Lytechinus pictus: one gene and its partners. The protein of the gene in region 3 purifies or fractionates together with the protein of the main gene of each other region. This does not show direct contact. Links are inferred from orthologs where the notes say so. Each region holds a gene or a part of one and is shown on either strand. Other genes may lie near its edges. The genes, in order: mitogen-activated protein kinase kinase kinase 1-like, low-density lipoprotein receptor-related protein 6-like and axin-1-like.

The links.
Region 1: the proteins of axin-1-like (region 3) and mitogen-activated protein kinase kinase kinase 1-like purify together in Homo sapiens (affinity purification with western blotting; 5 studies listed by BioGRID and IntAct, with this or other methods). This does not show direct contact. The link is inferred for Lytechinus pictus from reciprocal best matches to the Homo sapiens genes AXIN1 and MAP3K1.
Region 2: the proteins of axin-1-like (region 3) and low-density lipoprotein receptor-related protein 6-like purify together in Homo sapiens (affinity purification with western blotting; 7 studies listed by BioGRID and IntAct, with this or other methods). This does not show direct contact. The link is inferred for Lytechinus pictus from reciprocal best matches to the Homo sapiens genes AXIN1 and LRP6.

The regions. Positions count from the first base shown.
Region 1 is NC_087255.1:28,647,818-28,659,165, forward strand, and holds the start of mitogen-activated protein kinase kinase kinase 1-like, read right to left. Parts: upstream 5,119-11,348; 5' UTR 4,730-5,118; coding exon 4,464-4,729; intron 1,501-4,463; exon of another isoform or gene 1,073-1,500; intron 1-1,072. UniProt on the Homo sapiens protein: Component of a protein kinase signal transduction cascade. Activates the ERK and JNK kinase pathways by phosphorylation of MAP2K1 and MAP2K4. May phosphorylate the MAPK8/JNK1 kinase.
Region 2 is NC_087253.1:23,195,200-23,206,143, forward strand, and holds the start of low-density lipoprotein receptor-related protein 6-like, read left to right. Parts: upstream 1-6,709; 5' UTR 6,710-6,889; coding exon 6,890-7,107; intron 7,108-10,944. UniProt on the Homo sapiens protein: Component of the Wnt-Fzd-LRP5-LRP6 complex that triggers beta-catenin signaling through inducing aggregation of receptor-ligand complexes into ribosome-sized signalosomes.
Region 3 is NC_087254.1:17,710,162-17,720,717, forward strand, and holds the start of axin-1-like, read left to right. Parts: upstream 1-5,161; 5' UTR 5,162-5,527; intron 5,528-7,678; exon of another isoform or gene 7,679-7,914; intron 7,915-8,059; exon of another isoform or gene 8,060-8,458; intron 8,459-10,556. UniProt on the Homo sapiens protein: Component of the beta-catenin destruction complex required for regulating CTNNB1 levels through phosphorylation and ubiquitination, and modulating Wnt-signaling.

The DNA of each region.
Region 1 (11,348 bases), on a different chromosome or scaffold from region 3:
AAATATAATAACAAACAATAGAATACATTTGACACGAATAGTACTTTTTTTCTTCAAAGAAAATTCCAGCTGAAATATACATGTACTTTAATCCCAACGGCATCCCAATTACAGTGTATGTGAAAGAGCTTTAGGCCTATAATATGCTCTTTCATTTGATACCAAATTCGTCATGGTAGTATTTAAATTTCTACAGATATAGTAAATTTTACGATGTTTGGCAAGCGAACAAATTTCACTGAATTCCATGGGTGTACAAGTATGTACACTTTTGGCCTCAAATTTAGTATAGATAACATCTCTGCTGAAACTTTTAAAACAAAGGGAACCCTTTACTTCATTCAAATGCATGAGACCTACTGAGACTGCTCAACAATACAATTACTCATACTCAAAGTACTTTACCATTGAGGGATAACAACATACCCTACCCCACTGTTATGAGTCATACGTAATACTTGGTATTCATGTTTGGATAATCAATCAATCTACCCGTATCAGTGATCAGGTATCATTTATGCACTAATGACTTTCATGCATGTTACAGTTAAAAGTACTGCGGTAGTACATTACAGTGTTTTTGTACCTATACATGCAAATACTGGCTTTCAAAGTATGTCTCTCATTCTGCCAGTATGACGATAGATACTGTACATTGCAATAAAGCCTACAGTACATGTACAGCATAGTCTACATGATGTAGGCCTGCATGTAGGCCTACATCATGTATATTATTCATCTAGTATTAAAATCATCTACTACTAGTACATGTTATACATATGTACAAGAATATGATCCTAAAGTCATCTTAAAAATTCACAATCTAGACCTACATGTATATTAATATTGATTAATGATACTACAACATTGCAATCTCAATTGGCTCCCATGCAATTGCAATCACTAGATATTACGTACAAAGATGCAGGTCTATCAAAATTTATGTACACAACCAACAACACAAACACTATTTGGCCTAAACCATTCTCTAATAATCCAAGAATTATACAGAATTCAACTCTAACCTAAACCAAATATCCATTTACACAGTAACTTACCAACAGTAACTTACCAACACTGGAACAAGAATAAATCCAAATTTATGGTTCCTCAAGTGCAAATTATGTACAAAGATTTTCACATAGAAAAAGTTCAGTTCTCTTCCGTAAAGTACTACTAATACATTAGTACACCAACTGTCCCAACACAACTGACACTTTTCCTGTGTGTAAGCTATCATTGGCCTAAACTTTACTCATAACTGTACAAGTACGTCACAGAATGAATATGTCATCAGCTGTTATGGAAAGCCCAAGTGTACTGATCTAAAATCCAACCGCAAATTATCCTGTATACCGTAATACATGTACCTCAAACTACCTCAAATGAGTTGTACCGCAGCTGTGGATTTAGGCCTACAAAATCACTGGAGCATGTGAGTTTCACCTGACAGTAGCAGGATTGTGGGTGTCTACTGGGGATTGAATGTACTTTGATCTCAGCCGTTGAATGACACATCACTGTTTTGTTTACCTTTTGTGCAGGAATGTTCAGGTTAAGTAGGAAATGCATCTTTTGAATAGTCAAATAATTAGTTGTAAAACACCTGTGTTGAACTTGAACAGGCAGGGAGATAAACCTCCTAGATCAAGCAAACTGTAAATAATTATTATAAAAATTTGAATTATTTTGGGATGATCAGATGGCAAACAAAGTTTTTTTTTCTCTCTATCTCCCTGTTCTAATTTTTGTACAAGTTGAGCCAACATGTAGCCTATATATGCCTATTTCCAGTTTCTTGGGCCATTTCATTTATTTGTAATGAGTTAAAGAGAAAATTCACCTTGATACATGTACATGTATGTTCATTTGAAGAGAAAGAAAAAATATATAGAAAATTGTTGGTACTGGTAATGGTTTGACAAATATCCAACAGAGAAAAATAGAGTTAACATTTTTAATTTAATTTTGAAAATGGCCATGTGTCAGACATGTAATGTAGGTTGCCCATCAAAAAGGTGGTGCTGTTTACATATTTTTGGTTCATTTCTTGAGTTAATATTCATTGATATTTTCAAAACCAAAGGTGCTATGCCAACAAGTTTGGTATCATTTTGAAGCTGAATTCATTGGCTAATATTCTAGAAAGTTTCATTGCTCTCAGATAAACAGAACTTGAGTTACAGTACATAGTCTTTAAAATGACAAAGCACCAGGGGCGGTGCCAAAAGAGGTGCCACCTGTACAAACTCAATGGGGATTCTCAATATTTTGTGCTATTTTGGGTAAAACGTTAATATTTTTGTGAAAACTTAACTTCCAACAACAAATCTGGTATCATATTAAAGCTAGAGCATTCTTGTTTTACTGTTCATTGATTGAAAAATAAGTTTGGCAATGTCATTGTCATTTAAAAAAAAACAAGGTAAAAAACATTGAAATGAAAAAGAAATAAAAAAATTGTCCAAATTGTTCACTTTTCACAATTCATCCATATTGGCACATATTTTCTTTAGTTATTCTTAATTTAAATGTAGTTTTTGTGTAAAAACCAGAAAATGTGATTTCTACTATTCTGTACTAGTTAACTAATCTGTAGGATGAAAGTTTTGTTATAGATCTAAGGTCAAATTGTCAGAAATTCAGTCCAACAATACGTGCAGATTTTTAAAAATCATTCTATACCTTAAATCAGATGAACACAGCAGATATACCCACCATGCAATGGTAATGCAGGCAAAATAGCACACACATTACGTACATGTACATTTCTTTCTTTATTTTGTTGTTGATTTTGAAGCAATTTCTTGACCATAAACCTAATATTAAAATTAAACATTGTTAGGAAGATCTGACTCTGTACTGTACATAAATATGATTATATTGGTCAAAGGGGGTCTGATACAAAGTATTATGATCACAATTACATGTATGAGGTTAAAATAATTATTAATCTTTTTCTATTCAACACAACACTTATGCCTGACATAAAATGCTAATTCTGAGTGCTTATTTTGGTTCATTGAGCAATATCCTTTCAGAAAATATAGGATAGGGGAGAGAGACTTTCAAGTTTAAGGCGGTGCAAAAGCAAAAGTACGCGACCTCATGACACATGACCAGATAAGAAAACAGTCTAATGAAAGTTAAAAGAATTTTTCACACAAAGGATATCACAAGCCAAAGAGGGACAAATTTGTACAATGAACATGTACTGTAATAATCAAACAATACATGTATATTTTATTTTGAAAACTAAAAATATCACCAGATACAACTGCCAAGAAAACAAAAAGGCCCAGACAATCTTTCTACTTCAACATAGAAACAGTTTTATCATTGTTGTTGGGCTGAATGGGGAAAAGGGAGTACTTAATTCAGAGAGATTAACAAACAAAGGTGACCTGTTTATAGACCATGTCTTCAATGAACTCAATACAAGGAGCATTTGCATAACAAATACTCTTGTCAGAAACTTGATACTGAGCTGGAATAAATTGGTGATTTATACCTTGGTCACATTTGCTCTACGGCGGCCGTACAGCGAGTAGAAAACAGCCGTTTTATTAAATTTAATTCAAACCACCTATATATAGTAGGACAAAAATGTTAAAACGGCTGTTCTCGACTGGCCGTACGGCCGCTGTAGAATAAATGTGACCAAGGTATCAAAGACTTGTTTACAAGATCAGTATCACAAGAAATGATTGTGATTGTTGAACAGAAGACAAACTGCCCCATAAGAGTATACATTTAAACTCCTTTTTTTAGGGGAGTGGGGGGAAGGTATCATGCTCTGACCTACATGAGCACAACACTGTCACAAACACACAAACAAACAAAAACATTTACTGATTAGGTCTGACCTTTAGTTAGGTTATCAGTCTAACTGAACAGTATGGGGTGGGGGTAACAATCAGGCTTCAATAAGGTCTGTCTTGAGAACACATGCTTTGTTCTTTGAGGGGGCGGGGCATCTTTGGATCCAAACAACACAATACATAACAATTAAACCAATAACTTCAGTTCCACTTCCCCCAAGTACAAAGAAAAATATATATTTTCAGCCCACTCCATGACTGAGAGCTCTTTGGAATTATACTCTTCAGCTGTATTGTACTAGGCCTACACTTGAAAATAAAATTAAAACCTTAAATTAATAAAACCTACCTTGAAGTTAATAAGTATTTGATTAAGATTTTCATTGAAGCATATTTTACAAATTATTGTTGTTGTTGTTATAAAAAATTGTAGAATAAGAGTATGAATTTCTTAGTTAATAAATTATATTACCGGTACATACATGTAGAATAATGGTGAATTTCCTATAATTGTAAACTGTGTTGTTACGTGCAAATAATGACTGTCCAGATATTTATAATGAAAAAAACATTTATATTTATATATTTATTATAAGAAATATCAATTTACAAGTTTATCAAGTGAAAAAAAAAAACAATTACCCATTTTGTTTAGGCTCAACTGAAGTAGAGTTTCCCGGGAGATGTTTGGCGACAGAGCCCCCATCATCAGTCGGTGATTTCTGAGAACCCGAGCTTCCACTCCTCCTCCTATTGCGAGAACGTGATCGCTCCCCCGACCTTCGGCGAGACTTGCGAATGGCCCCCGATCCAGAACTTGAGCCTTCTCGTTCCCGCGTACTTTCAGCTCCAGATTCGCCACGTTTTGATCGCGATTTGTGAGGTCTTTGTTCTCCTGTTTTTTCCATGGTATAAATCCAATTTTGAGGAACGGTTCACGATGAGAAACGAATCATTTCTATAATAAATCTCACAGCAGATTGTACCGTTACCCAGTCTTCAGTGTATTCAAATTTACTTCGAAAAATCGATCGGATATGTACATAAATAAAGTAAAAACAATCCTGAAACCACCTGTCCAACTCAAAACTCAGTCAGATTTCTTAATCCTTTTCTAGTTTTCGCGCTGAAAATTCACGTGGTTTCATGACCCCGCCAGCACAATAACAATATACTCAGTCAGACTTTGCATTGTTCAAACCAAATTTCTGCATCAATCGTTTTGTGGTGAGAATATTACCAAGGAGTTTACCCAGTAACAAAGTCCAAGTCTCTTGTGCCGCCTACGCATAGAGTCAGCTTGCCAGCGCGATGCTACCGCCGGGAATATTTCCCATAACAATAGCAGCGTGTATGACATCATCGGGGTATTTTTGTTGGTGGAAAACTCCAAATCGAGCAAAGGGGTGGTAATAGTGCGCACCCCACTGAAAGCCAAATTGGGAGGGGTGTCGCGGTGACTCATGGCAAAATTACAATAATCAATAATTCAATAAATATTTCAGCAAACAGCTCGAAGACTATTGCCGACTATTTTGCATGAATGTTATATGCGGTGGATAGAGAAGATGTGATACATGCCCGATACATGTTAACGGCTAAATCGGGGGCTAACAAAGATGAAGGTTTAGTAAAATGAAGAAAGAAAGACAATATAAATTTCACAATAGAGATATGCATACGTTGGAAAAGAGATGGAACTGATTATGCCAAACACTCGGAGATGGCGGCAGGATATTTCGGTCGGGGATCTTTGGCAAGCGATTTTAAAGTGACGCCACTTTTTTTCATTTGCAGACACGGCATAGACTGCATAATTCCGGCCCCGGGCCTTTCTCCCTCTTTTTCGTTATTTTCTACTTTTTGTCAGTCGCTCCCTGTGAATAATCCATATATCCAAATAAATATCAAAGTTCTTTTTTTTAACTGAGGTTTGATAGCAAAGAAGCCCTTTTGCCCTGAATCATGATAATCTCATATCTTAACTTTTAATGAATAAAAAGTGAAATAAAAGGTATTTCAAAGGAATACAACAAATAGTGTAAGTGTGTGATCATCGGCATAGCCCTGGGAATATTGTTCAGCATAGGCAGCAACCTGGCTGGACACCAGGTTGGGAAAAATAAAATCCATAATTTTGATTAAAAAATCACCTTTTTGAAACGAAACTCTCTTACTTTTTGCTTGTAATTTTTTTCTGACCGAAATCAGCTTCATTTTGGAACGAAAGTTGGCTTGTCATTTTTTTTTCAAAACTACCCCCCCCCCCCCTTCTTTCAAAATCGTTCCCGGGGCCCTGGCCTGATCATCGACTCAGCATTGTATACCAATTTATGTTAAAATGCCATATTTCATTTTATTTTTACATCCGATTATCATGAAAATTTAAATGTCATATCGTTGGCTGTATACACTGGCGGATCCAGGGGACACATCCGGCCGTGCCCCCCGCCCCCTTGAGAGAGGGATAATGTTTTTTTTTTTTTATACAAATATGCCGTTCTAACAAAAGTGTGCCCCCAGCCATTAAAAGCAAGGACCCTTTTTAATTCATTTTTTAGCTTGTCAAATTTTCCTCGGGAAAATGTGCCCCCCCCCCCTTGGAAAATCCTGGATCCGCCCCTGGTTGGCTATTCAACTCACTGGTGGGGCAGGACTTGAGCTCAAGTTAAGATATATATTTTTCTTTATTATATGCAGTATGAAGTATAGGAGATTCGGGGCCGGGGGGCAATTTAGCCATAATAAATTAACCCCAAGAAATGAAATAAAATGTGAATTAATTAGATATGTAAATGGGTCAATGTTCCATAAAGAGGGCATATAGGTCTATTATCTTGATTTCTTTAAACAAAATTTCATCCAATGTGGATAAATGCTCGATCACATTCCATTAATAAAGCAAATTTAATTCTATATAACTCCAAATTGTTCTTGATCTCCGAGCGAATCTCAGGATTGTGTAAAATAGTCCTGGGCATAAATAATTTTGAGCGGGCAGAAAATTCTAATCTGAAAAAGTCACGAGCGAGAGAAAATGCTGACCTTTTGTTTGATTTTTCGATTGAGTTTGACATAATTCAGAGCCCATTTCCCTTGTATTTCCTTTTCTCCTCATTTAGTTTTCTTCTTGGCCGTGCCTTTTTAAGGGGGCGAAGTGCCCCAAGACTGACTTGGTGTTGTCATTTTTTTCAAGCAATCTGCTTATAATGGCAATCCTTCTCTTGCAAACTGTAAATGTTAAATTTTCTTTGTTGGTGTTTAGAATGACTTTTTTATTTTATATTTTTTTCTTTATGATTCATACCAAAATCAATGACCGATATATTATGTTTGTTACGTAATGAAAATTGTATTGTATACGAATGATGAATGCAGAAGAAAAATAAATCAAATCAAATCAAAAATCCCATCTTTCGGCACCATGGCCCGTATTCTGAAATCGGTTTTAACTTAGACCACGGTCTATCTCTGTACTAAAATTATGGGATGCCACAAATATACAAATCCTGTTTATAATATTTCTTCTTGTTTACTATTTTGGTTTCGTTTGCTTTTATAATGACGGAAAGTACTTCAGATATCATTCACAGACAATTATGGATAATATGAGTGTCAAATGAGTTAATAAATTGGATGTGTGCTGATAGGGATTTGTGCCCGAATTGGCTCTCCATAGTTAAACCTCAACTTTAAACCAGGGTTTCATTCAAACCTGAGTTCAGAATACGGGCCTATGTGTTTGTGTGTGATGTCGGTTATAAATATACATACCTACTATACGTGAAAATAAGGGACACTGAGAGACAACTAATTCATGATTTCATATATTCTCTTGTTGGGGGAGAATTCATTTTTAATATCAATTCTATAAATCTTGAAAGATTTAATTTCAACTGAACAGAAGAAATAGACTGGGGCCCGGGACTGGGGCTCATAGCTTACCAACAGTAGGAATTCTTGATTCTGATTGGCTGCTGAGCCAGGTGTACCGTATGACAGTAATGACAGTAATATTTATTCTCAGATCACCCCAACGGGTATTGGAGAACACTACAAGATTTGAAACATATTAACATTTGAATTTTAAACATATTTACATAAAATATATATAAACAAAAAATACAAACAAGAAACCCACATATTTCACTGAAATATTATGATAACATATTATAATAAGATATAAATAAATTATTTCTTGAATTACTAAATTTTAGAATTAACAGAAAAAAAAGTAAAACATGATGCGTACAAAGGCACCAGCAGCAAACTAAATACAAAAATTAAACAGTTTATCAAAATAATAATACATATGTATCTATATCTATAGTAATCAAGATAAATTATTAAAAGACAAATAAAACGAAATAAATGAATACTTCTATTCTTTGATTACTCTATCAGAAGCGAAGCATAATTATTTTACAAAATTTAGCCAGATTGAAAGTTGCCATTATGAAGATTGAAGGTTGAAAGTTGCCATTATGGCAAATGCGCCATAGTCAAGGGCATGTCATACACAGCGAGGGGGCAGTTGTCCCCAAGAAATTTTGAAAACTTACATTCACATGATCTCAATTGTACTCTAGGAAATGCCAAAACACCCCATGACAAGCTTCTTAAAAAAATATGCTTCTTGCCCCCTGGGAACAAAATATGCGTATGACCATGACCGTACATGGGTCCCTGTTTCTTAAAATATGAGCAAAACTTCGACTTTCTATATAATCAAAGTTTTGCACCAGATTTCATGAAATTGCTTATCCTACTACAAGTAACCCTCCCCAAAAAAATTCTGGAAGTTAAAGGGGAATCCAGCCTTGGCCATAAAATGTTGTGTTGGGAAGGAGAAAAATAAAGTGAACAGAATGGTGAAAGTTTGAAAGAAATCGGACAAGCAATAAGAAAGTTATAGCTGCTTTAAAATTGAGATCACTAATACTATGTAGATTTCAGGGCAACTGGGTAAGTAAATTATGACAAGGGGCAAGGACAACTTTCGCATAGGCCATGTACTTTATTATCAGGGATTTGTGGTTTTCTCCTAAGTACCCATTCCCCTGGGGCAGTAATCTAAATATAACCCAGGTAGTATATTGTTTTATGTCCTCATGAAAGAAAAATATAATTTGAAATAAAACTTTTGGGAAAAATGAAATTTTAGCCAAAATATGTATTGGAGTACATGGAAGAGTAGTCCTTGCCTTACATCACTATGACATCCCATATGCGGCCAATTTGAAGTCTCAATGGGTATAGTGATTACCAATATTTACAACTGTTAAAATTTCATAACTTTCTTGTTGTTTGTCCAATATTGTTCAAACTTTGACCTATCAACTTGTCTGATTTTTCTTTTCCTTATTAAAGATTTTATTTGGGTTGGACTCCCCTTTAATAAGTACTTTCATTTTAAAGGGGAATCCAACCCAAAGTTGAAAGGTGAAAGTTTGAACAATATTGGACAAACAACAAGAAAGTTATAAAATTTTAAAAGTTGTAAATATTGGTAATCACTACACCCATGGAGACTTCAAATTGGCCGCATATGGGATGTCATAGTGATGTAAGGCAAGGACTACTCTTCTATGTACTCCAATACATATTATGGCTAAAATGTCATTTTTCCCAAAAGTTTTATTTCAAATTATATTTTTCTTTCATGAGGACATAAAACAATATACTACCTGGGTTATATTTAGATTACTGCCCCAGGGGAATGGGTACTTATAGGAGAAAAACCACAAATCCCTGATAATAAAGTACATGGCCTATGGGAAAGTTGTCCTTGCCCCTTGTCATAATTTACTTACCCAGATGCCAATTTGAAATCTACATACTATTAGTGATCTCAATTTTAAAGCAGCTATAACTTTCTTATTGCTTGTCCGATTTCTTTCAAACTTTCACCATTCTGTTTAATTTATTTTTCTCCTTCCCAACACAACATTTTATGGTCAAGGCTGGATTCCCCTTTAACATTTATTACAAAGTTACTAGAATTTGTGATTTTCGATTTTGTGTTTTTCATAGAATTTGTTGCTGTCCACGATACCCCTGCCACCCTCCCTGCCAATATAACACAAGTAGTGCATTTAATTTTCTTGTCTGAAGGAGAGCAGCATTTAGACATTCAACTTTGATCGATGCTTAGTCCTACAACATCGTTGGAGTAAACTAAACTAAACTAAACTACCCCCCCCCCCCCTCCCCATCTGTCGACATTACGAGTATTCGACTTTCTTTCGCAAAGTAAAAGTACACCCCTATTATTATGAATGAAATCGCCCTGCGATACTCAAATTAACGGGTGCAACATGGCGCTGTACATCCACCTGTGCGGCTTGGCGTTGACGTGACAACAACAAAGCTCGCTTCCGGATTCCAGCGGATATCTGTGCGCGACTGTCTCCGTAAATATACCGGTGCTTGTCGAGTTAAGAATCCTCTATTGTGTTGCGTAGTACAGTCTGTAGATTGTTCAATGACAATGGAAGAATAGCTACCGTACCCACACAACCCTCCCTGGTCAAAGTTCAAAACGGCCAGCCCGTCGGTACCGGTACCTATGCTAGCAAGCACAACTGCAACTGAGTGACGTGAGAAGAAACTTGGCAATAAAAAAATGGATGGAATTCTGGAAGTCATGGATGATTCCTTGTCTATTTTGTATTGATCATGATGGTGGATTATCTGATCTAACTTTCAAAGTCTGCAATAAGTTAAACTTAAACGAGTAAGGTAGGTTACAGGCCAGCCTCTGAAGTGCAACACTTTTTAAGTTAACACTAAAACATGTAAACAATTTTAGTTTAAACTAACAAACCATAGGCCTAGGTTGTCGATAAATGTATGAATCTGATCAGACACTTTACTTTCACATGGGTGTAGTGTACGTTGATAGATCCTAGGCCTACCTCAAGTGATGTCTGTGCAGGCTCTACTTACTTAGCCTTGCCTTGGCCTTGAGTGAGGACTTCGTGATGATATTTTTTATTATTTTGACATCTCATTTGACATTTCACATTGCACTAGACATCTACTTAACGTTACATAGACTACCAAACCAACTGTATACGCAGTTGTTGTGTGTCCGGACAGGTTGTGTGTCCGGACGATCAATTTTAGAAAGTCATTTGGAAAAAATTACAAGCGAAGTTTCATCAATTTTTAGTACAAAATGTTAGAAAATATTATAGAGAACAAAATAGAAGATGATTACAACTATTGAATTCATATTTTTAGTGTAATCTTAAGACAAAAAAGAAGGCTTCAAAAATATAAAGTGTCCGGACACCCGACCCCCCATCCTACAAGAAAAACTAGGCCTACATCTACAGAATTTAGTGGAGGAAGAAGGGTTTTTTTTAATTTTCACTTTGATTTTTAATTTTGTAAAAGATGTAATACTCCTAATTAGCTAACCAACCTCTGTCTAGGATATATCATAGTCTCCAAATTTGAAATTAGGTCTATGATAAAAATTTATTTTTCCCCCTTCACATTCACAGGCAGTCAGGCTTGTCA
Region 2 (10,944 bases), on a different chromosome or scaffold from region 3:
CTTTATCGTCTTCTCCCTCCTCTCTATCTCTGTATCTCTCATTTATTCTTCATCTCCTGTTATTTTTTTCTTTGCCCCCCCCTCTATTTGCTTGTATCTTTCCCCTTTTATCTCTCAATCACTTCAATATTTTGCCTTATACAATTTAATTCTGTATTTCTTTTCTTTCTTTCTATTTTATCTCTCCCTCTATCCATTCTTCTTCCTCTCTCTTTCTCCGTTTCTCTTAATATCTGCCCCTCACTTTCTACTGTGTTTCTCCCACAGATAATGCACCTTTCTCTTTCTTTTTTATCTGTCAATCTTTTCAATATATTGCCTTTCATCCTGTATTTTTCTTTCTCCCTATCCCCCTCTCTCATTTCTTTCGCATAACTTTTTCTTACATACATGTACATACATGTACTTCCTCCATTTCTCTCCTATGCTCCCATTCTCTCCTAAAGCTAATTTCTCCTATCTCCCACAATGCATCTTTTTCTCTCTCCCTTTCTCTCTCTCTCTGAAAACCGTTTCATTACTACCAGTGGAGATTACCTTTTAGGAGCTGCAGACGTAGAGTAATGCAGGGTGGATTTGAGCTGGCGCCCTGAGGGGTAATACTCGCTATACGCAAGCATTAGTGCTCGATGGATAGAAGAAGACGAGATAGATGCACGGCCCGAGGGGACTTAACATCATGTCGTTTGTCATGTAATGCTAGTCTACCTTTCACATAGCCGCAGCATCGCTGCGAACATTTGCCGGGCCCGTTGCGTTGCTACCTCGGCGTCGTGCACCAGGCGCCTTTAATGCGCTGCCGTCCATTTCAATATTTATGCCAGCCAAAAGACGTGGGTTATATTATGCGAGAGGAGATGAAGGATGAAGATTTGGGGGATGTATTTTCGACCAAGCTGCTTAAGTGTGTCTGTGTGGGGTATTGTGCGATTCTTTCATCATACATCATGTACTAGAATGCCATAAATTGCAAAGGCATGTTTATCATATCTCTGAGATATAAGTTGTTAGCTACACAAATATTGTGCATAATTTAGTGCTCCCTCCTACATGTATGTAGTATGATGTAGGCTTACATGTACATGGAGATACAGTACATCCATACATACTATTACATGTACATTTAATACACCCTACTTAAAACTTACTATACATTTTAACATTTATATTGCGCTTCTTGTAAACATGTTCAAAGGGCTTTGCTTATATAACATAATATTCAATGAATAATTCTACTCTCCACGTGCTTACAATATATTGGGTGGATGTTACAGAGAAAATAGTAGGTTTTCGCTTGTTTTGTTAATAATTGTACTGAAGGAAATTAGTTTTCGATGAGAATTTGTCACTCTTACATGTATTTATCCCTCCCATTATAATCTATAGTGAAGATGATTATGATAATTTTGTATGCTAATGAACCGCAACAACATCAACAGCAACTAATAATAATGATAATAATAATTGATTATGCAATTAAATCTAAACATGATGACCATGTTTGATTGATGATGATGATGATAATGAGGATGATAATGGTGATGATAATGAGGATGATAATGATGATGAGGATGATAATGGTGATGATGATGATGATGATGGTGATGATAATGATGATGGTGGTGGAAATGGTGATGATGAATGATGAAGGTGATGATGATGATGATGATAATATTGATAATGATGATAATGATGATGATAATGGCAATGATGATGATGATGATGACGAATGATGATGGTGATGATGATGGTGATGATGATGGTGGTGGTGATGATGATGATGATGAAGAATTCATGATAACGAAAATGATAATGGTGATGATGATGATAATGGTGATAATGATAATGGTCATGATAATGATGATGATGATGAATGATGAAGGTGATGATGATGGTGATTACAGTTGCTGCCGATTACCTGCTGATATAGGCCCTAGGCCTTAATAACTGAAAATTGAATGGTAGATTATATGTAGCAAAAGTAAAGAAGCATGGAGGTATAGTCTCCATGCATGAAGTGCTTACATGGCATTACAGATTTAGATGTACATTTATTATAATGGAATTAAACATGAATGTAAACATGTGTACACATGTAATCACCTTCACGTAATTGTTTCATTTCATTCTTCTACTCATCTCAACAGGGTGCTACATAACTTTTTAGAAGCGCTTGCCCGGTCGGGCAAGTAAATTTTTTAATAGTTGGAATATACTTGCCCAAAAATCTGTCAGTTGCACGAAAAAATCCTTGAAAATTTTTTACCTCTTCAAAAAAAAGTTTTGCGGTTTTATAAACCATTGACCTTTTTCTCTCTTTTGACATGAACTGATCTACCTTGTTATTGCATTTCTTTTTCCAAAGTGATTTTATCTTGCCTGTCATGACCAAAATTAGGGTCAATATCATATCGACCCTAATTTTGGTCATTCTACTGTGAGAATTTTGCTTTCTACTGTGTGAATTTTGCTTGCCCAATTCGGGCAAATAGTTTTGGTCTTTACTTCAAAACACTTGCCCGAATCTAAATTTTACTTGCCCCGGGCAATTGGGAAAGTGCTTATGTAGCACCCTGTCTCAGTATGCCAAAATTTAAATGCAATCTGAGAGGACACCATTTTCCAATTTCCATTCCAATATATACTTTTTAATAATGATTATCACTTTAAATTTTAACCATTTAGGCCTAATGCTTATAAATCAAAGCTACGGTATGTTTTTGTTTTACGAATTAGAGCATGGTCATTATCAATCACTTTTAATATAGGCCTTCGTATACATTTATATGAATTTTACCAAGGAGATATACATGTACTACATGTACATGTATGTGGAAACTTGTATCTCAGCTCCGTGATTTAACCATTGAATAGTTTTAAGGCATTAATTAGACAAGATGTATTTTTTTCTTCATTTTTTAGATCATGGTCAGTTGGTCATTATCAATCACTTAGGTAATTGAATCGCCATTATGGCTACATTATGACAAATTGTGTTATTATATATTTTTTAGAGGCAGCTGTAAACCAAAAAGATTTGACAAGATTTGGAAAGATCGTCTCGAGAGGGTTATTATAGCAATACCTTCCTTCCGTGGACATCGTATGAAATTAATTTGGCTTAATTTGGAGGAGTATCGTCTTACAGAGAAGCTCTGGGTAATTGATTGATTGCAAAGCATTTGAGCTGAGAAAATGGGAAGTCCATTCGTGAGGCCCCATTAGGCTTGCGTAATTGAGAAACATTCATCTTTGGTTGGAACCTTGTTTTATTGTTCGTTTTGACGAGTAGTTGTTTGGTTTCTGGCAGGAAATATTAGAATGACAGTATGATAAATGGGTTTGAATCCCTCTATTGCAGCAGTGATTTGCAAAAACAGTTACTTCATATTGATGTTTATTTTCATGATTCTCTTGATGACTCCTATTAATCATAAAGTCATGTTAAAATGATATTATTCATGGAAACTATCATGACTATTTCCATAGTTTTTTTTTCTCCTACTTTAACCTCAATTTTTAGTTCATGAAAAAAAATCTTGTTTTTTGTAATCATGCTTACAGTGTAAATGGCATTTGTAATTTCATGTATCCACAGATCTGTATCCTAGGAAAATAATTTTAATCTCTTTTGTGATTTTGAATATTTTCTCCTTTCTGCCAAAAAATTTGAATTCAGTTCATGCACTTAATTATTGCTTTTACTGGTACCCTCCTTAATAAATTTCAAAAAGAATATTTTAACACCTGTGACCTGTTTCCCCTTTTTTAATTTTATTTTTGTTTATATAAAAGCCACATTACTACATGTAGATGTAGATGTACAAGCCTATACATGATTATTGTGATATGATGAGTAATCTGAAAATTTGTCCATGGCACTATCAATTCCGCACCATGTGCACTATTTTGAAGAAAAAATCACCTCTTCTACATGTATGCTACTAGACTGTTCCCCCCCCCCCCCCCCGTTAACAATTTAAAACAGCTAGAAATGTGTTGATAATTTTGCATGCATGTGAGATGTACATGTAGGCCTACATCTATAGTACCTCCTGGGATACATGCATGTTCATACAGTAAGATAAATCCTCATGTACTCTATATGTATGGCCTAATAGGCCTATATAACATGTATACAATGCTATTTCCTCCGTATTCTGTGGAAGGCTATTGTTATGAGGTATTTTCTTGAGAAAAAAATGAAAGACTAAAGTCACTTCAAGCAGTGCACAGTAAGCCGTCCCCTTTTGAAAACCCTCCCTAATGAGCCAGGGCTATTTGGAGGTGTTCACTTGCCCCCCTCTTGGGACCAAGGGGGGCTATTCAGCACCCCTATACCCAGTAATCAGGCCCCCATTATGACCCCTGTATTGTTGTTGGGGAGAAGCCAGTCAAGATTTTGGGGCCTTACACTGAAGCACCATAGCCCACCAACACAAAACATGTTGAGATTGTGTGTGTGTATTGGGTCAGTATTCCAAAGCCATTGTGGTAAGGTGGACTCACTTTGTATACACACAAATACCACTGCATGGGGTGAAAAGCATCGAGTGGTGTGTGTGTGTATATGTGTGTGTGTATTGGAGGGCATTATCAAGTGCATGTGTGTGATTTGGTGGTATACAGTGAGTGGGTGCATCATGGAAAGATTGTTGGAAGAAAATAATGCTCTTGTGAGTTCTGTTCAGAAGGAGTTGATGTATTTATTTAGGTCAATAAATGGTTGACCCATTATGTTGGACAACCCTTCCATTGGTAGGGGGGGGGGGGTGAACAACTCAACCATTAGTATTATATGTAAAGGGGGAAATATTTGTTTACATGGAGCTTCGATTTGTAATAATTTAGAACTACAAACTCACTTTAAAGTTTAATATACATGGTAGTATATGGGTATGAGAACCAGGGATAAACATTTTTTTTTCAGCACATGCTGTGCCTGAGAAAAATATTATGCCCACATAGGTAGGCCTACATATTTATTTTGACCAGAACAAACTGTCATGTCAAATCAAAATACATCCACTATTAAAAAACCCCACTTTTTAAATTCCATATAGTTTTAAAGGGGAATAATATTGCTAACCCTCTTTTTTTCCAGGAGATTTACCGAAAGTTGTATTAAAGAGAGGCTGAAACCTCTATTTTTCGTTGCATACCATACTGCACTCTACATGTATGTTGGCCATTCATAATGCAAAACAAAATTATTAAAAATAAATAAATAACATTCAGTCATTTTGTGCATGCAACAGCACCGATCCTAATTATAGGCCTATCAATTGAGAAAATGAGTGTCATCATAGCAAACTTTTGCACTATTAAAGAGAAATTCCAGTAGTTGCAGTAAACACTGATTTCATGAGAAAGTCTGTAAAACCAGGCTTAATTGTCAGTATATCATCGAGGATCTAGATCTGGTACAGTTACATACATGTAAACTGAACTTTGTGAAATCTTGAAATCTACGCTGAAAAATGTTCAGACTGAACTTCCCCAACACAGATAAGCGCACGTGGGACTGTGTATAATTATTGCTTTGAGCGTCGGGCCCGACGCTCTACCCGAATCCTGTGCTTATTTGCTGATTTCTCAGCAATTACACAATTTCTTCCAGAATCCTTTGGCATATGCGTTTTATTTATACAAACAGACACTTTGGTGGTCATTTCATTGGATTCTGTACGAACTCATTTTGATATTGTTACCAAAACTAGCATTTACCTTTAAACATGCATTCAATTTTATGCATTGCAGTCATGTTCTGTTTCTCAAGAAATGAATACTTCAATAGTGATATTACGTTTATTCTAAGAAAATCTTCTGGAGTACATGTATTGCGGTGAATTCCAGTTGTATTCCTGCAGGCTGACATGTAATTGTACAAAGGAGTTTGTAATTGTGACCCGAGTGTGCTTTAATGCACTCAATACAATATTTTATAAAACAAATATTGTATTACTTTTATTTAGATAGAAGGGCCACATACACTGTATGTATGTAAATTATTTAAAAAATGATGACTTTCTGAGTTAACAGATGACATCCTCAGTTGCATCATGGAGCTATTCACACAAAATAGCTCCATGGTTGCATTGAATGGTTTTGGTTCATAACTTGGGAGTACAAGTTTTTTATATATATATTTGTATGGCAATGAGATAATAATAATAATAATAAGCAGTTCTTAGAGACACATAATACCATGTAAATAGTCTCTATGCGTGTAGAAGAATTATTGTTTTCTATAGGGCTAATACATGTATGTGTTTCTTAAAAAGATGTGTTTTTATTAAACACTGATTTGAATCTGTTGAAATTACATGTAATCACTGGCTTTGATGCAAAATTTGTGACCTATTAAAAACTGAAATTTTTTTTTCTTTGTTATTAAAATTTTTGTGACGTACATATGTGAAATTCCAAATTATTATTAATGCTAATTATAAGATGCTGACACTGAGTAGCCACAACCCTGAGTAGCCATACATGTATGCCTTCTTGTAGGCTTACATGTACATACTCAACTGGTATCATATTCTTTTTATGACAAACTGATTTTGTATGAATTTATGTTAACAAAAAATGAAGAAATTTGTGAAATGGAAGAAAATAAATGTTCATATGGAAAAAAATATTACGAACAAAAGAAACAAAGTTAAAATATATTCATTTGTTCTTTCCCCCTACCTTATCTACAGCAAATACACAACTCCTATTCGCAAACCGGCGCGATGTACAACTCCTCACCGTGCCCGCTTCCAACTTCTCACAGACGTCTTCCGTCACCGTCGTCGAGGGCCTCCAAGATGCCGCGGCCGTCGACTTCCTCTACTCGCAAAATCTCATATTCTGGACGGACGTTAGTTTGGAAGCAATCAAAAGAATGTTTATTAACGGCTCCGATGTCGTCGAGGACGTTATTACGACGGGGCTCGTCGCCCCGGATGGACTCGCCTGTGATTGGATGAGCCGAAAATTATATTGGACTGACGCTGATACAAACAGGATAGAAGTCAGTGAGATTGATGGGAAATCAAGAACTGTTTTATTTTGGAAGGATTTACATTTGCCGAGAGCAATAGCGTTAGATCCGGAACATGGGTAAGTGTTAAAAAGCTATCTTTGATTTGAATTGATTTGATTTTTTGTGTCACATTCCGAAATAGTGTATTATTCATCTGTAAGGTAGCATCTGTATAAAATAAAGGTAAGGTAGCACCATAAAAATACATGTCCATGTACATGTAGGTCTAAGGCCTATAAACATTAATTATATGGTGAATATTGACAATCATAATGTAGGATGGCAACCAGAATTTTTATTTTATAGTTCAAACAATATTTATCACTTCACCGTACAATCACTACAATGTACTATGTAGATTGTAAAAACTTGAAGATGACCCCATGGATCAGCTGTGTTGAGACGGTCCCTAATGCCCAGGCAGCATTTTCCATATTCCTCACACCAGGCTCCTCCATGGGGTACGGCCCTGACGTCCTGGAAAGACCGCTGGTTCCTGGATGGTAGGAAAAACACTTCCCAACTGGGGCCATGTCGGTCCACTCTGTGTAAAATAGATTGGATCTTTTACAGTAGGCCTACATGTATGTACAAATGTACTTCATGAGGGAAAGTTTAGTTCTCTTTTGACATTAAAAGAGTGTGCATAGGTGCCTGCTACCACTTGCACACTACAGTTTTGTTTTTACAAAGCTTTTGCACTTCCCAACTTGAATGATGTCCGTCTACCTTCTAGCCTACATGTACCTATTGGTAGGCCTACATGAACACTTGAAGAGGAGTAGGCCTAACAAAAAGTTTTGTAATGATAAAGTGAAAAGTCACAGGTTTGAAAAACTGTGAACCATTTAGAAAGCTGAAATATATAGGCCTATGTATTGTTATTCATGAATATAGCAAAATCTTCCGAATTTGTAGATCTAGATGTAAGCTGTAATCAGCAAGCAGTTAATGCTGTGGCCTGTGGGTGACAAGAACCACTCACAATCACAGAAATTGATGTACATGTACCAGACTACAAAGTATGCAAATGTTCAGAATTTTTCTTAGTTCAGATAATTTTTGTCATTGAATATTTGATTATTTGAATAGCAATCCTTTGCATCGTAAATCTCTTTATTACATGTATGTCTCCTAAAATGAACAAACATGAAAAGAACTTGAAAACTCACATTCATTGTTTTCACTTTTTTTCACAACAGTAAAGTTTCTCTTTAAGCTTTGGACACATCGTGGAGACAGTTCAGTAGTATTTTAACGACTTTATGACAACTAATTGCAAATTGTCCTTGGTGCTTAACTGGTCATTCAACCAAAGGGATGTCTTGTTGATTACCATTCAACTCAAAAGTTTTATGGTATTGTCCGAGCAATTGGTCACATAAAACTCCAGAGTGGCAAATACGAGATCTACTCAGTCTACTTTTAAAGGGAAATGCAAATATGCATTCAATTCAGTTCAGTTTTAGATTATAAAACAATTTTTTTGTAGTAGTTGAAAGACTTGTATCACTCAGTGTTTACATTTAAAAATTATATCCAGACCTAGATACTTTTTAATAGGCCTACATTTGAAATCATTATACATACCGTAGTCACCACATCATCCACATCTAGCTTTTTTTGTGTGTCAAATATACACAAGGAAAAGACAGAATGGTTAACGTTAAGAGATTAACCACTTCAAATTAGTTTTGAAAATATAACAATGATAGTGACGACACTATGATAGTGTCCATGAATACAAGAACCTGGAAATGTGCAAGTTTGTCAGATCTACATGTAGGAAATACTGTTTTCATAAAATATTGATAAGCTTTTATAACTTCAGCAACATTGCAACCATTTCTTCATCAGATCTTTCTAGAGACCTGTGCTATTTCTTGCGATCTATTCAAACTATTGCTGTTTTCAACAATGATGTATTAAACAGGCAATGATTATTATAAAAGCAAGTTTGATTCAAGCTTTTTAGGTCAAAAGAGAAAAGCTCTCAACTATTATCAAAGTTCTGTACAGTTGGTAAATATCTGCTACAGCGTCCATAAAAATAGTTTTTGTGTCGCAGTCTTTTATGTGGAGCAAATTGTGATGCGATACCAAGAAAATTATTCCTATTCATGTGCATAATAGGTAGACTAGATAGGCCTATTGCTCGAAACATATACAATCTTGGAGATGTATTGAACTGTATTTTACATACACGTACATCATTAAAAACTATAAAGCAATGGCTATAATTTTATAGGGCATTTTATACATGTAGGATTTGTGTAGTGCACATATCCGTCTTGTTACATTTAGGTGCTCAAGGCGCTCCTATACCCTGGCTATAAAGCTAGTCAACCGATTCCGGTGCTCACACTTTGATAGTTCCCAAAACTCTTGAAATAACAACCGTACATGTATGTATAATACCAAAATTTATGAAAAAAAAAAGCGACCATCAGATAATATTTACACCCATATTGGTCATTAGAAAGATCTGTTTAATTAGTGGACTGATAGGTCTTAGTTTTTACACAGAATGTGTACTGTAGGTCTAAGTATGCTCATTCAATATTCAAGATTCTTTTTACATGTAATTGGTCATTGTACGCATACAAAGAAATTTGGTTTCCAATGGCTTTAACAATGAAATATACACAAAGATGAAAATACACAACAGTATTGGAGAACTTTACATGGAGAACTTTACATGTACTCATTCCTTGGTAACACTTTGGTAACACTGTGCTGCAGGCCGCAGCACAGATCTGTCCATCTTGTGTGAAACTAGGCATAAAGGTGGCTTTGGTCTAATGGCTAGTGCCTGGAGGCAAGACTAGCATTGACCTTTGACCTTGAGTTTGTCTGCTGAGCCTGTCAATCAAGCATTATTAATCTGTCAACCTTTGTAATGTTGTTCTTGGCACATTCACTGTGCTCTCATTTTTTTATGTGCATGTCTTGACTTGGCGCTGTTCACACCCCTCACATACAGACACAATGTTCCACTGGCACGTTCACATCCCTCGCTTTAGATATAACGTTCCACTCCACGACGAGGCCTATATTATTCACTTTTCCTAATTTCCATCTTCGGCATTCAAATTCAAGGTTCAACTTTCACAAATTTGTATAGTGTTCACACCTTTATGTTCACATCAAATTTATACAAAAGCTTGCATTGAGTGTTTGCGCCTGATTTTTCTAGTTTCTACAATAGGCCTCCCCCTCCCCTGGAAATTTTAAGGGGTAGGGTAGCTGGTAGTAGAGCCTGTGTTGCACAATTTTTAAAAATACAGAATACAAAAAAAATCTTTTACCAAAGGGAGGGAGGATGGGGGGGTGGGGGGGGGGCAAGGTCATGATCACATGCATTGTACATTAATATGACTTTAATACTGGATCCAGCACATATTACATGTGTAGCTTCATAACTCCATGCCTGCATGATGATGTATTGTCAATATACTTGATTTAACTGTCTGAAAGGGTCAACGATCCTTCCAAACGAAGTGAACGTACCCCATAGTCCTTCACTCATTCTCCTGCTCCCATAACCTTCATAACTGTTGATGTATTTGTCATGCCAGGAATTCACGGGTGTCAAGCCTTATTCTCTCCCCTGTTCGTCACCTCTCATTCATTCCCCACCCCCTCCCCATCCCCTTCTTTCCACTAGGTGTATTCAGACAATGATTTTACTAGCCATTGGCTAGTAGTTGGGCCAGTGTTATTTTGAACCCTGTCCATATGTGTGTATTACAGTCAAAGGCCCGTATTCCGAAGTCAGGTTTAACTTTAATAGACCATGTACTCTGTGCTAAAATTATGGGAAGCCAATAGTGTCAAATTTTTTTTAAATTTCATATAAAGTTGTATGTTTCTTATGTTTACTGTGCTCTTTCCTGACTCAACGATGGTGAAGA
Region 3 (10,556 bases):
AGTATGATGAACTTACAATACCTACACGATGTATTAATCACAGATACTGATGACGTTGGTTGGACAATAAACTCTGATCTCTCTCAAAGTGTGAATAACAACCAAGAGAAACAAAAACAAAATCAAAAGGGAGAAATGGAGAGAAATCGGCTAAAAGACACAATTGACACCGACATACTCCTGATACGCATTTGTAAGTTCAGATCAAAAGGGCTCCTTAGAAATCGGGAAAAGAAGAGGCGATAAAGGGAGACAAAAGAGATGGACCTTATCAAAGACTCTTTTCTGGAGATCCTTTTCTAAAGCCTCTATCCTCATTCTATATAGTCATATTGTCCGCACGAGGCTCGAATAATTGAGATATCACCGGTGCGGCGCTCTTTCTTTAGAACAAACCTTCTGAAAAGGTCCTGCCTTCCTCTTCCCCCTTTTTTCTAGCCTCCCATCCTCTGCTATTTTTTCTCTGTCCATGTTAGATTTTTTCAGAGCTCCTTTTTACAAGATCACAATGACGGAATGCCAGCGAATCGGGCATGAAAAGAATCTCATAAAAAAAATAAGTTGAGAGAGAAAAGGTCTTATATTATTCGCAGAAAGGAGAAAAGGATTAAAGTCTGCCACTTGACAACACGAGTGAAGAGGGCAGTCAAGCAAAGTGAATTAACTTGTACCACACACAAAAAGACCGATTGGTTATCATCATGCTGGGTTCGCCAACAGGAAGAGGCGTTTACACTCAAACATCAGTGCAGTGTTCAGGTATGTGTGTTCATATTCATAAGTACGAAAAGCAACAACCGCCGCCACCTCCACCCCACCACCACAACCTCCTCCACTACCACCATCACGACTCCAGTGCACCCATCACCATCGCCACTACCTTTACCACCGTCACCATTACCACTATAGGGTGTGTTAGTATATCCATGGTCACACGCTGGATTTGAGCTTAAAAGTTTACTATTTGCAACAGGATTCGAATAAATTTGATTTGGTGAATTAGTTGAAAACTTTCATTCCATAAAAGTGTGATAGAAGTTGATCATTTTATTCAATATTGCAGCCCAAATGATGAATTGCCATTGAATTCACCCAATAAATAAAAATGAATAATTAATGAATATTATCATCATTATTGTTGTTGTTATTGTTGTTATTATTATTAATATTATTATCATTATTATTATTGTAATTATTATCATTATTATTATTATTATCATTATTATTGTTATTATTATTATTATTATTATTTGGTTGGCGTCACCTGTTCCTGGGATGTGATTTCAAAGCAAACTGAATCACAATGATCCGCAGGTCTCTCCACCCGATATGATGGGGGGGGGGGGGGGGCGCAGGTGGTCCAATACACCGGGGTTTCCCCCTACTCGTATTATTCCCTACATGGGGCATCCATTTAACGTCCTATCCGAGGGACGGAGTGTTTTCCACTGTAACATAGCCTGCATCTACTCTCTAAATGCAAAAAAATATTTAGTCCCCAATCACACTCCTCTTGGAGTGATAATTGGGGCCAATCCCTTTGGAGTGAACTGTACATCATTTTTTAGAGTGCATTTAACTCATTTTGGAGTGAAGTGCAAGAAGAGGCACATGCACTCCAAAAGGTGTCATAATGCACTATAAAAGAATGTACAGTTCACTCCAAAGGGAAGAGGAATCGAGATTAGGGAGATTGGTTCATTCGCATTTAGAGAGTAAGGAACAGGGGGGGGGGGGTTACACACAACGCAGGCTTCAGTTATCCGCCCGGGGTGGATTCGATCCAGTCCAGTTTAGTCATTTATTTATTCATCTATCTATCTATTTATCTATCTATCTATCTGTCTGCCTGTCTGTCTGTCTGTGTGTCTGCCTGTCTGTGTGTCTGTCTGTCTGTCCGTCCGTCCGTCTGTCCGTCCATCCATCCATCCATCTATTTATTTATTTATTTATTTATTTATTATTTATTTATTTATTTACCATTATTATTATTATTTTTTTTTATTTATTTGTTTATTTATCCTTGGTCGCGGCTCCTCGTGTCCGATATGGAATCACTGGTCCGCTTCTGCTGCCGGGGTGGGCCTATCCTTCCTTCTCCTTTTCTGCCGGGGCTAGACTCGATAAGCTCTGCTTTTACTAGCCCTGATGGTCACATTAGTTACAATTGTATTTCAATTTTGTTGTATGTTTATCTCTTGTATCTCCTTTATATGTACACGAATCAATTTCTTCTTTCTTTTGTAATTTTCGGTAATATTCTGTAAGGTGTTTAATATGAAATAAATGAAATGAAAAAATGAAAAATGATATTTATTTATTTATGCAGCTTTATTAAAAAATGCAAGGTAATCCTTCGGTGCCCAAAGGCCTGCTTTACAAAAGAGCCCTGTAGACATTGACTTACAGACCTAATTATCAATAGTTTGTTTATACATATCATTTAGGCTAAATTTATTATTATACACATTTACAGATAATGTTGACCCCCGTAATCAAAGTAATATTAGATATAACCAAACCCTTATAAATTAAAGGTGATGCTCAGGGCTGAAAAGAATGATAAAAATCACAAATAGAGTAAATCAAACGAGCAAAGCACTAAAAATTCCACAAAAATCTAATAGCGATTATTTCATATCACAATGTCTCCCTTGCAACAAAATAAGTCGTAGCAATTATTATCTTACACATTGCATCAACAGTCAATCATTTTTTTAAAATACTTGGATGACAAAATTGAAATACGATATAATTTCATAATTATAATCAAATACAAAATTTGCGGGGATGATAATATGAATTATAATAACATGCAACATTTATATATCGCTTAATACAAAGGTTTCTAAGCGCTGCATATATACTATTACCCCTGTATTATTATAATGACATCATCAGCTTGTCCATTGCATAATCATGAAGATAGGCACAGAAACTGTTCTACAGAAATAATGTCAAAAATGAAAATGCCAAAAATAAAAATGCCATAACTTTGTTATACCTTGTCCGATTTCTATGAAATCGTTGAGCGTTTTATTAATTTTGTCTGATTTTATTGTATCTGCTCAAATCAAATTATTTTCAGCCTGGAGTACCCAATTAAGACAAAAATGTCATTTATACATCAAAATGTATCATGACAAAGGAAAAATAAACAAAATGCAATTCTCCGTAAGGTTATGTTCGTGTATGTGAGGGTGTGGGTGAGTGTTGGGGTGGGCAGGGATGAGTTGCCGTTTTCGGGCCTTTTCAAATCCGAATTCATGCAAGGGCTTATTTCTCCCAAGACCGTTGTGAACAATATACTAGTAATTACCAGTCATTAGGCACATATCCCATTTCCACTTTTCATTCGGGGCCCTCATTTTCACCCTAGCTGCATCCGATATCAACGTGGGGGTGCTTTCATTGTATACTTGGCTGGAAATTAATAAACATTAATTCAGTTCCAGTCAGTTATATAGCTTTTATCACTTTAATCAGCGTATTTCTGCGATGATGATTGAGATTAGTTTTAGATAATGATGTAATCTTCCAAAATTGCGAGCCCTTGATTGTTTTAGCTTCCAACGTTCAAAGCCATGCACATCTCTCACTAAAATGGAAATATTTTCGATTTCAAATGTTATAATCATCGAAATCCACAAATGGTTCTAAACCAGATAATAAAAGCTGAATTAAAATGTACTACAACCAGAAGCGGGAGGGTTCATGAAATATTTGCGAACCTCAGATCTAGGCCTGTGGATTGGCATTATTTTTTTCCAGTTTACAACAAGACGAACTCATGACAGTAATTGGTAGGATATGGACCGATCATGGCAGGACTTTATGGTGTATGCTCTACATTCCAATAAAATATGGGACAATGTGTTTACACTCGGCTGAAATCATGTAAAGACGAGATAACAATACATTCCCTCCTTTTGTTGGAAGCTGAACAGATCGAATAAGAGAGACAGAAAGAATAGTTGGGCGGACGGATAAGAGGCGGGTGAAGGTTAGGTGAAAGAGAGAAATATTTGATGAGGAAGGAGAAAGGGGGAGGGGTAAATATATTTTTTTTAAATAGAGAGAGAGGGCAGAGAAAGTACGAAGCGCGTCAGGAGACAATCAATAAAAACATATTTATTCATAACGTTTATAAAAACGAGATGAGTAAACCATGGACCTATGCATAGGTCCATATAAAACAAAGGGGATAGCCCGAGAAAGGTATATAGGTAGGTAGGTTGGAAGGTATAGATAGATAGATAAATAGATAGATAGATAGATAGACAGACAGACAGACAGACAGACAGATAGATAGATAGATAGATAGATAGATAGATAGATAGATAGATAGATAGATAGATAGATAGATAGATAGATAGATAGATAGATAGATAGATAGATAGATAGATAGATAGATAGATAGATAGAGATAGATATAGATAGATATAGATAGATAGATAGGTAGGTTGGTATAGATAGATATAGGTAGGTAGGTAGACAGATAGATAGATAGATCGACAGACAGATAGATAGATAGATAGATAGATAGAGATAGATAGATAGATAGATAGATAGATAAAAAGATAGATAGATAGATAGATATAGATAGATAGATAGATAGATAGATAGATAGATAGATAGATAGACAGACAGACATAGATAGAGATAGAGATAGAGATAGAGATAGAGATAGAGATAGATAGATAGATAGATAGATAGATAGATAGATAGATAGATAGATAGATAGATAGATAGATAGATAGATAGATAGATAGATAGATAGATAGATAGATAGATAGATAGATAGATAGATAGATAGATAGATAGATAGATAGATAGATAGATAGATAGATAGATAGATAGATAGATAGGTAGGTAGGTAGGTTGGTTGGTATAGATAGATAGAAAGATAGATAGATGGGGAGGGAAAGGGAGAGAAAGACAGGCAGACAGATAGAAAGAGGAAGCGAGAAGAGGATGAATATTGATAGATCTGAGGGGAAGGAGAATAGAGGGGAAGATGTGAAGAGATGAACAATAGAAGCAGAACGTTGAATGCTGCGGTATATATGGAGGCGATACGTTGAATTGGCAGGGCTTCGTGTCGGCATAGATCACAGAGAGTCGGCTTATTTTTATTGCTCGCGATAAATCATTAACACCCGTAAAGAGCGGAGTAATGAAGGCGGTATTCTCGCTTCGGTATCCCCGCACTAACAGTTCCGCGGTTCAACTTATTGTACATCCCCAGTATCCCCCCTCCCTGTAATATTCATGCCATCGTTTGTGATAGACGATTCGCCTTCCGACTTCATTCCTGCTTATTCATTGGCTTAGGAGGAGAACAGCGATCTAGAGATTCTATTTCTTTCTTCAAAAATTAATCGTCTGAGAATTATTTGTAAGAAACAAATTATTTACTATAGACCTACCGGTCGAGTATATGAATCTGAACACAGGAATTGAACATCTATAGCTAGACGGTAGACCCTTTATGTCACCGTTTTAAATGAGTCAGTGACGAAATCAGGTAAAGTCATATTAACCAAATATGTTGTTTCCTTTTGCCACCGGTATACCTCGTTGTTTCTGGCGATTTATTTTTGTTAATGATAGTTTAATATTTTGATTTATTAAAATATAGGACCATTATTTTTTGCTTGATCGACTTCCCTTGAAAAAAAGTGGCGAAATGAGAAGAAAAAGAAAAGAAAAAAGAGAGGCCAGACGTGGCATATTTTCCAAACAATATATGAGCGTGCCAATCGAGTGATTTTTTTTTAACTTTTTAATAAAAAAATCTTAATTTATGATTGAAAGGTGATGTATTTTCTTTCACCTACCCCCCCCCCCCCGTATCACACCCGTATACCAGTGCTTGAAATACTTGCGGATAGGCTATTGCATTTATTGTTAAACCTCATTTAATTGGTATATAATTTGTGGTACACTCAAATGATTGTATTGTTCACGACTGCTATATATATGCTATATATATGCTATATATATTTCATTATGTAGGCATATATCTATAAATTAGGCTATTTGGCCTAGAGGAAGAGAGCGGTGACTTTTGAGGTTTTCCCATAAATTCAACACTTTTTTCAAACATTGTTTCTCTTAAAACATCATGAAGTCACCCCATTGAAAAAATTATCTTTATACCAAGAGACCTATATATGCTATGGATATTTTTGTTATTTTGATTTTTTTTATTAAATTTATTCATTCATTTATTTATCTATTTTTATTTCCACTCATGGATTGAACGCTCTTATTATCTAAATGATGTTCTTTTAAAAGTGTTGTAATTGTTAATATCGGTGTCGATTCCAGCTTAAAAAATGAAGCTTCGTTCCATTTTTGGTGAAGGGAGGGAGGGTGTGTCGATGCGCAGGGACTTCTAAAATCCTCTTATTGCAAATTTCCAGAAAAAATGCCGTAAGATAAATACTCTCTTTTCAACTTGAAAAAATAAATAGAGTCTTTGTGATAAGTTTAGTTGCTTTCCTTGCTTGCTAATATGCTTTAAATAGTGTAAGGACTACCTTTTCAAAGAAAGAAACTAAAGAAAATTCTCCATAGAGCCTTTTTTTTAGTCATATATCTTGACCAACTGGTGATGGGGAAAGGACCCCAAATGTTTGTGATTATGATAATGTCTGAATATTTGAAAATGTTTGCCTGTTTTATCGCTATCGTATAATTTCAGAAATGTCAAGTATATCTATATTGGGCCTCATTTTATTTTGCTTCAGCATAATATAGGCCACATGAATATGTCAGAAACTTGATTACAAATGATGTTATCCCCCCTTTTAATATTCATATTTGGTATTCCTGTATACCACACTTATCACAATCACAATTGAATGCCAAGAGTCATAGAATGAACGCCCTGTAAATTCCAGGCGAGGAATAAAGCCAGGAGAGTCCAGGTTGTAAAAATAAAATACAAATAAAAAACGACGGCGAGTCATCACAATTGTAGCCAGTGAATTTTTACTGCCTGAATAAATCTCGACTGTGCATTTATACGACGCCGCTCTCCTAGTTTTCATTGTAAATAAAAGCGATGGACCATGTCATCAGTGCAGGAAGGAAGGCCAGGGAAAGAAACAAAATTAAGAACCAAACTTAATTTAATTTCAACAGACTTTTTACAAGAGGGTGACGGTATTTTGAAACCTCTAATCCAAACTATTTTAAAGGGATGTCATGATGTTTGTTGAATATACGAGAAGAGATATTCCTAGATGTATGATGTATTAGAACACTGATAAAATCCCATGCATCCGTGTAAATCAACATTTCTGCCAGGTTCAGAGATAAAGAAGGAAAAGAGCCAGGGTTAGGAGAAGAAAAATCTAATCATTTCTCACGCTACAATGACAGTGTGACCTGTTATGTTACAAGAGCAAACTTTTAGACTTTTAGATGAGTTTTGTCTTCTATTGAAGTTTTATTACGATAGTTTGCCTGTTCAGCCGATACAGTTTATCACATCGCTATTTATCTTATTGGAGTTTTCTGTGTTGCGTAACGCAACGTGCTTTGAATATTATCTATACCTTATCTATTTACGATTTGGTGAACACCCCTCTATTTCCTAGTGGAAGTGGTCCAGGCAACTTAATGAATTGCATTCTGATTGGTGCGGCTTGTCGTTTGTGTGTACGTCACTGCCCTTTGGGAGCTTTTCGGGCGGCGGGCATGTGCTTTGATGTTTCATGCACTTTGCAACACTGAGAACTTCCTAGGCCCTGTTTGTGTGTGTACGTGTGTGTGTATGCAGCATGAGCATCCAAAGTGACTTGCCATTTTATGCCCAGTTTCGCCATGCCTAGCGTACGAACGGTTTGCTTGCATCGAATCTGATCAGCGGTGAACATAATATTTCATTCCAATGATTAGAAGGTAAGGAAAGTGTGCAAGTTTAATCATATTGAGGAATTTTAGGCTAAAACTCAAAATTACCTTTTCATTTCCTTTAAATATCGTGTAACGATATGTTGCATCAAAACACGTTTAACTTGGAGTTGGATTGGACGGTCCGGCATGCACCACACATCGCACTCCCGTCCCGTGGCTTTCTCGGGGCGCTTATTTGGACCATGGATGCATAGAGCGAGACTACGTTACGCTGGCTCCATCTGCATGGCCGTTGGCGTTACTTTCTGTAGCTGAAGTCTGGACCATAATTCAAGAAAACTCTGCCCAAACTGGATTTCACGGATATCTACTATCTTGGATTATCACACAAGTGGATCATAAATAAAGCGTAAACAGAATTTGAGAATAACTGGTAAAACAGTGAGGTTCGATTTGTTCTTCGCATAACCCTGGACGTCGTGCCGTGGTACACAGTCAATGCGTGGTGGGCGCTATTTTTTGTAGCGCCGATCTTCGAGCTGCATCTTGTGTATCCGCACAATAGAGATCGAGAGAGCATGTATTTTGTGTAGGTTTAGGTCTCCTCAGTAGACTCTGGAGTATGTACTAAAGTATTAGACACAATTACAGCATAAATGCCTAGTATTAGTAGTAGTGGCACCTTGATTTGAATTTGAATGAATTGAAGTTGTGTGTTCACTGATCATTATTATAAAAAAAGTGTTCCATGGGGGACCATGCCGTTGAGGCAGAGGATCATGTTTTTATGAATGATCTCCATCTGACCAATCTTGTTCATTGAGGAAATCAATTCACCCCCTAACATATTTTTATATTAATGCAAGATCTCAAGTGCATTGTAAGAGTTAAATTATGTTACCTAATTTTAAATAGGTCATTATCTGCTAATTAAAATACTCGTAATAATGAATTCATTGTATTGTCACAAAGTGGTTTTTGATCTGGTGTAGTCAAATTTACCTTATTACATGTATCTACAAATTGAGCAGGGATAATTATGCAGTGAGCCAGTGACTTTGTTGTGGAACGTGTCAATTTATAAAGTTGTTCTGAATGGCATTCCATTGTTGTGGCGATTCCATTTGTGTCATATGGGACATTTAGAGAACGATATGTAGTCTTTAAACTGAATGCTTGATCAATAATTTTTTTTTTTTATGGCAATGATAAAGTTGAGCTAGTGATTTGTTTTTATTGGTGAATAAGAGGTGAAAATATTGCATGTCATACAGCAGGATTCCCAGCCCATCAGGGAAAATTATTTTACTCTTTTTCCAGTCGGAAAAATCAGGGAATTTGTTAAATATATTCTGAAAATACATGTTATTCACTGCAACAACTTTAAATAGAAAACATGCAAAACTGGGAATGGGTTTAAATAATTATCAGGGAAGTTTTAAAGTTCATCAGGGACAAACCACAGAATTTTGTTTTTTGGCAAAGCTTGGAACCCAGAAATAGAAAATAATAGTAGGCCTAACGAGTTGGCGGTAATAGTCAAATATGACTGGTCGCCATTAATATCCAACAAACAACAACAACAACCTGTACAGGACATCTCTGCGTCCAGTACGACAAGCGATATTTTCACCTCTTATGCACCCATGGAAAGATTTTTTTTTTTGGGGGGGGGTTGTTATTTTTTCACAAGACTACATGTACCATGTAGAACTTTGTTATTACCACAAAACAAATTGAAGTTCCTTGTTTGTTTGGACAGCGGTTTAGAAGAATTTGTGAAAATGACTAATTTTTCTAGCATGGAATCACCCTTGTAGATCAAACATTAGATTAAACCCTTTTATTCTTGCACCATATTACTCTAGGAAAAAGTCTTAATTTCGAATTCATAAGAATTTCAGTGTCAAAGACCTTGACAATTAACCAGCTTTAAAGACTTACGTTACTATGGGTTTCCTCGTTGCACAATATCACAGTTCGTTCTCTCTCCTTGAACTCATTCTCTCAAATATAAACAATTTACAAGTCAAATCATAAAGATAATAATAATAACCTCATATTTACCCAGAGTAACCACAATTTCCAAAAACTGTTTGCCCAGCAAGCCCTGCTTAACATGAAAATGTTTAACATTGAAAATGCGATCACTGGAACGATATCACTGGAACGACAGTGATAGAAAATGTTAACTTAATAACTAGGCCTATAGCCTGAGAATTTCTGTCCCAATTCTAGTGGATGCAAACATACACTCTAAATTACAGGGATTTAAAATAAGTCCAGATGGACTGTAGCTAGGGACCAATCGATTTCTGAATTTAGTTTTAATCCTAACGACTTAAATTTATATCTCAAATGATTTAAATTTAAATCTTTCGAGATTTAAAAATGAATCTTAAGGATTCAAACTAAATCCGGAATTCGATTGGTCCCTAACTACAGTCCATGTGGACTTGTTTTAAATCCCTGTAATTTAGAGTGTAAGACAAAATAGGCCTAAGACAAGCAGCATCTTTTAAGATACTATGCGATTTTCTGTTCACAGTTGTAGGCCTACTTTTAAAATACAGTACCCTATTTTGAAGCAATATTGTCAATTTGAAATCACCATGCATGTACCAGTACTTGTAGAAAGTTAATTGAGACTGTTTTAGCACTGAGCTTGTAGGCGTGGGAGTATCTGG